Linked DNA regions of Mus musculus: region 2 is reported to be linked to region 1. Evidence: microRNA targets listed by miRTarBase, many of them from high-throughput screens and not tested one by one. Region 1 holds a microRNA gene; the other region holds the end of a gene's coding sequence.
The links. Region 1 holds the annotated microRNA mmu-miR-344d-3p (GAUAUAACCACUGCCAGACUGA, at 2,090-2,111, shown strand). A microRNA usually pairs through its seed, bases 2 to 8, with sites in the 3' UTR of a target mRNA and lowers its output. Matches are read on the target gene's strand: a 7mer-m8 pairs with bases 2 to 8, a 7mer-A1 pairs with bases 2 to 7 and ends in A, and an 8mer does both.

Region 1 (3,201 bases):
CACAGAAGTAGATGCTCACAGTCAGCTATTGGATGGAGCACAGGGCCCCCAATGGAGAAGCTAGGGAAAACACCCAAGGAGCTGAAGGGGTCTGCAACCCTATAGGTGGAACAACAATATGAACTAACCAGTACCCACAGAGCTAGTGTCTCTAGCATAGTATTTTATGTATACTGTCCCTCCTCAATTCATCTACTTTCAAATTTTTTCTGCTTTCTTCTGGGAACCTAGGGAGGGAGAAGTGAGGTATAAATAAGCAGCACTAATGGAGATCTCCAAGTTTTCTGCATGCTTTGATGTTCATGCCTAGTTATATGATCTCCTTCTTGGTTGTATCTTATTATTCCATTCTTTGTTTGGATGAATGTACCCCATCAATCAGAAACAAAGATAGAAAGAGACAATAAATTTGTCTGCAAGAAAAGATTTTATCAGTCAAGCTTCTGGCTATATTTCAGGACTTATCTGGTCCTGGGTATAACCAAAGCCTGCTTGTTTGCTATTAAAGAAATTTAAGAGTGTTTCTGTAACTGACAGAAGATGGAGTCAGTAGACAGTTGCAAGGATAGCTCTTGTTTTTTTTCAGAGCCTCCATTACATGACATGATTCCTTGTCTCTATACAGGGAATGTCACCACATGTGAAATTCAGGTATAAGCTTTTGGTGTCCATTCCTTGCCTTAGTCAGTTTGGGTCATGTCTTCTGCAAAGAAGATACAAGATTAAGCTTCAGCTTATGAGGGAGACTAGCAAATTTTTGACATTTTCATAACTTTAGGTCAGACACTGTGAGAAATGCTGTGGTAGCAAATGACCTCAATATACCATCATGATATTTCTGAAATAATCTTGAGTTAAATAAGAGACAAAGATACTACCATACTCAGAAAATATTCACCCTTTCGGCAGTGATGCTGACAGCATGTTCTTATTAATGGTAAAAAAATAAAATAAAACTTTCAATTATTCAACCCTTGTTTATATTGGTGTTTTATGTTCAATATAGAAGAATCTCTAGCATTTTTGTTCTTCCAAGTCAGTTCATTAATAACTACATGATCTAGGGGGTCATGAGCACTTTAGGAAAACCAATTCATCATCCATCTCCTGAACATCTCCATTTTTATATTATATGCAATACAAAAAAGAAATAAACACAATAGTTTTCATGGGGACCTTTTACTAGTGGCTTTCTCGAGACCTATATTTATTTCAGTTATTTCTACTCTGTCTTTAGCATCCAGGTCTCTGTGGTATAACCTTGATATTTACTAAATGTAGTATTTTCATTCAGATATTCCTAACAGTAGTAAACAATTTGCAACTATATGTAAATCAAAAAAATTATGTCTTCTTTATAAGCACAGTTTAAAATTTCCTACATACTATGTATTGTTGGAATTATCCAAAGTATATGAACAGTATTTTCAACTCTAGTTTTCCTCTTAATATTGTGCATATCTATGAGACACTTCACTGTCACTTATAAATTGAGTACTGGTGGAGCAGGATATAGGAAGAATATTGCACTTAGTATTCCAAAACCACTTTGATGATACCCTATTAAATATTGTTGTAATAGGAAAGGCTATAATCAGAGAAAACAACATAATCAATCACTGAGGGAGACATAGGCACATCACAATTATTCAGCAGGCAACAAAAAAGCCCAAAATGAAAGAGAGGTATTCTGGCAAACTCTCTGGATCTAAATAGAAGGAACCAAAAATAGGAAGTGCTCTGCTCAAAGGTTCTACTGACGTTTTTTTTTGTTGGTAATATAGTAAGAAGAATGTAAAAAACAGCTTTTTCTGATATCTTTTTATCAATATTTCTGCTTTCTTAAGGGAAGTCAGGGTGGAAGGGTTGGGGCATGAATCAGCAGCACTGATGAGATCACCATGGTAACAGCAGGATTTGATGTGCATGCCTAGTTATAAAATCTCTTTCCTGATTGGATCTGATGCCATTCTCTATTTGAATACACATTCTCCATCAATCAGAAGCAAGGAGAGCAAATAAATTTGTTTGCAGGGGAAGATTTCATCAGTCAGGCTAGTGGTTATACTCCAGGACTTATCTGGTCCTGGATATAACCACTGCCAGACTGAATGGTGCTAAAGAGAAGGGAGAGTGGAGAGTGCTGTGTCACTGTCAGCAGACAGAGCCAGTGGTAAGCTGGGAAGCCTGTGCTTATTTATTTCAGTCTCCATGCACTGGTTGCTTAACTCCATGTTTCATATCGTAGCTGTCACCCCCCTATGGGAAATTCAGGTATTTGATTTGAAATGTTACTTCCTTGTTTCATGTTGAGCTGTGTCTTCTGAAAATAAAATACAAAATTCAAGCTACAGCTTGTGACAGAGACTAGGTAATATCTCGCATCTTCACATCTTTCATTCAGCTACTGAGAGAAATCCTTTGGCAGTAAATATTCTCAACTAATCACCATGAACACTCAGAAAAATCCAGAGTCATATCATATAGTACCCAGAATCAAAGTACTCTTCGGAGAGTGATTCTTTTAACCTACTGCCATTGTTCGCAAAAGGCATCCATAGGTACAACCATAGTTTAGAGTGTTGTTATTGTTTTAATTCATTAGATTGTCTAGGTGGTCATTTTTCCAAGTCTGGCTTTTGCTACATCACAGTTCACGGGGGGTCAGGAGCCCTTTAAGGGAATCACAAGATCATATTTTGCTGACCTCTATCTTGGTATTACAGCATGTAAAAGAAGAAAATGAAGACAGTTATTTTCATAGTGACCTTGTACTAGTGGATACCTCTAGACCTATATGCTTTTCTGGTCATTTGCATTCTGTCTTTAGTGATCCAGTTTTTGTGGTATAACCTAGATATTTATGAAATTCTCTTACTGTGGTGAAGATATTCCTGACAGTCTTAAATGCCTTATAACTATACATGCATCAGAAAATATCCTGGCACCTTACAACCCCATTAATTGTACCAAATACATCATATAAACATTGTTTTTAGCACTGAATTCCACCACATAGTGTGGAATTATATGAGACACTCCAGCATTTCATACAAACTAAGTATGCTTGGAGAAATCCATGGGCAGAATGTGGCACTATAATTCTAAAAGCTCTCTTATGCTTACAATATTAGATATTACATTTTCTAAGAAATTCTATAATCAGAGTTTACAACAGAAGCAATTAGTGAAGGAGACACA
Region 2 (3,000 bases), not on the chromosome of region 1:
GGGCCCACTGGTGCTGTACCTGTTGGTGGGCACGCTCTTCCTTCTGGCAGGCTTCGTGTCACTCTTCCGCATCCGGAGCGTCATCAAGCAGGGTGGCACTAAGACGGACAAGCTAGAGAAGCTCATGATCCGCATCGGCATCTTCACCCTGCTCTACACGGTGCCAGCCAGCATCGTGGTGGCCTGCTACCTGTATGAGCAGCACTACCGGGAGAGCTGGGAGGCAGCCCTCACCTGCGCGTGTCCGGGACCGGACGCTGGCCAGCCACGCGCCAAACCCGAGTACTGGGTGCTCATGCTCAAGTACTTCATGTGCCTGGTGGTGGGCATCACGTCGGGAGTCTGGATCTGGTCCGGCAAGACTCTGGAGTCTTGGCGGCGGTTCACCAGCCGCTGCTGCTGCAGCTCTCGGCGGGGCCACAAGAGCGGTGGCGCTATGGCCGCAGGAGACTATGCGGAGGCCAGCGCCGCGCTCACCGGCAGGACCGGGCCGCCTGGCCCCACCGCCGCATACCACAAGCAAGTGTCCCTGTCGCACGTATAGGAAGGCCTGGAGGCCGAGGCCCAGGGACAGTGCTGGAAGTTGAAGGGGGCAGTTGTTTCGCTTGGTAGCTTTGTGAAGGTCACTTCCGTTTACCTTCTTGGTGCTGATGCCCCCTCCCAGAGTGGCTTGGAGAGGAAAAGGGGGCGGTTTCAAGAGATTACCTGTCCCCAGTCTTCTACAGGGGGCTCGGCTCGCAGGGCAGTGGGTTAAGTGTATTCTAGTTTGCATTTCTTACTGCTTTCTTTAGAAGTACCTTGTTTTTAATTTATATGTATTTTAAGTTTTAACTTTGTTGCATTTTGGCAACAAAATTTACCTTTGCTTTGGGGGCTACATAATCCTCAAATTGGCATTGTAATGAGGTTACTGTTGGTTCAGGTTTTTTTGGACTGTGTGGTCTAAATTAGGAAAATATATTTCCTATACGTGTCTTTTTTTTTTTTTTTTATAAATGTGAACAGTGAAAGGCTGCTGTGAGTGGGAAGGTGTGGAGTGTGTGTGTGTGTGTGTGTGTGTGTGTGTGTTTTAAGGTAGTTTCTTCTTACAGTGCTTAAAATGTCCAGGACACTTAGAGGCCAGAGGCCATCTGCTCTTTCTGTGTCTAGCCCCCTCAAGTCCTCTGTGAAAGTAGACCATGATGTGGTTAGGACCATCCCTCACATGATAAGGTTAGAGTTTTGTGAGCCTCCTTAACCTTGCTCAGCAAGCGTTGGGCTCTTGGCAGCCGAGCTGCCATCTTTCTCATCCCCGATAGAGCCAGCCGCCCTTGTCGTGTCTTGAATAAGTTAGAGGAGGCATTATAGAGCGGACCTAAACATTTGCCTTGGAGCCTGAGGGATGGGGATTGGCTGAATGTGAATTCTGAACTAGTGAGGTGGTGAGCCTTCTGCTGGAGAGGGTGGCTCTTAAGATGCTCCAGAGAGCCCCACCCCCACCCCCCACCCCCGAGCTTTTGAGAATAAAAAATTAGGCTACAAATTTCAGTAAAAATAAATTCACTCCCTTTTTCTGGAAGTAGTTAGGACTCTTTGCTAAAGGGGGCTCTCTTTTAGATTAAAGGACAAAAAACGGATATGCTTCCAGTAATTAAAGTAAATTCCCATTGCTTCGAATCTGCGGCTCCGGCCCACCTCCTTTATCATGTTAAACAGTCCTCCTTGCTTTTCTTATTCCTCCTGGTGGAGAGTGGTGATTAGAAACCACACCCACCCACCAATGAAGTGCTCAGACTGGGGGAGGGAGGTTAGTTACCTGGGAACAAACCTTGGCTCAGGGGGAAAACAAATGGCCCTGAACTCAAGGTTTAAAGCCAGATAGATATATTCCCCAAAGCAGCTACACCATGCCCTAGTAGCCTGAAAACCAACAAGACTCCTAACTTAAGCTTTGTAATATGGGGGCTACTGTAAGTGTAAAGCCACTGCTGGAGAGACCAGGTTTCTTTCCCCCCCCTTTTGAGAGAGCCTGTATAGTGATGGACACCCCCTTACCCAGTTTCCCTGCTATTAGAAGAGTCTGTTTGCTTTCCTAATCTATTTAACTATTCATTCACTAAGAGTGTGGGGCCATTACTGGGAAGGAAATGGCAGGGCGTACCAGTGACCAAGGCAGAGCGGGGACTGAATTTAGGGATCTAAAATGGCCAAGCCACTGAAATGTCACCAAGCTTTCCTAGAGAAACAGCTGGAGTCTAGGCATCCCGATTTTCTTTTGCAGCAGCTGGGGGGTGGGTTGGGGGTAGGGAGAGTTAAGCCTGAGCCAGCTTTATGCCCCAGGGACTGAGTGGAAAAAAGCGTAGTTCCCACTGGGAATGTAAGCAGTCAGAGGGTGTTCACATTTGTAAAATACTCTGCCCTCGCTCACTGGAGTCAGAATTAGAATTTCAGTGGCTTCCACAAGACCTTGTACACCTAGATGCAGGACTCTGTGAAGGTCTTATTCCGATGCCCTTTTCCTTCCGGGAACCTCAACACACTCACTGGCTATGCACCACTTCTGTTTTTCAAATGAGGTTCTTTTCTTATCACCTTGCCCTCTTGCCTTGTTTAGCATGGTCTTCCCAGAATCTGCTGCTCCCTCCCCACCCACCCCCCCTCAGTCTGCTGTGCATAGTTAGGGTTGTTCCTCTCTCACAAAGAAAATCGAGAATTGGACATACAGTGTATCTAAAAGTTGTGGGGTGGAGCGGATGAAAGTGATTTAATTCATCTTTTTTAGAATGATTATTTTTTTCCATCTAAGCAACATGCCAAAGCTGTAAAAAAAAAGAATGATTAATAATACCCTTTGAACAATACAGCAGTTGAAGTGGGCGCAATGCTAGAGCTGGAGGCCGGGAATGCCTTTGGATGGAGCTTCAGAGGCCTGGAGTTTTCTGTCCTCTGCTCCCCTCTCCCTTACCCTTAGAGAGACAAAGCGCACCTGCTTCCCTGAAGCCAACAGGAGTTTCTAGCCAG

Region 2: the mRNA of Fzd5 is a reported target of mmu-miR-344d-3p. The part of its 3' UTR that is shown has no 7-base or 8-base seed match.

What each region holds. Positions count from the first base shown.
Region 1 is chr7:61,725,166-61,728,366 of GRCm38, reverse strand. It overlaps Mir344d-3 (microRNA 344d-3), which reads left to right and starts at 2,039; the gene lies at 2,039-2,118. All of the region lies in intron 6 of A230057D06Rik (RIKEN cDNA A230057D06 gene), which reads left to right.
Region 2 is chr1:64,732,387-64,735,386 of GRCm38, reverse strand. Fzd5 (frizzled class receptor 5) reads left to right here. Exons shown (of 2, transcript NM_022721.3): 2 at 1-3,000. The coding sequence ends at 544. Among named protein-coding and RNA genes, the nearest start is that of Fzd5, 3.9 kb to the left of the region's middle.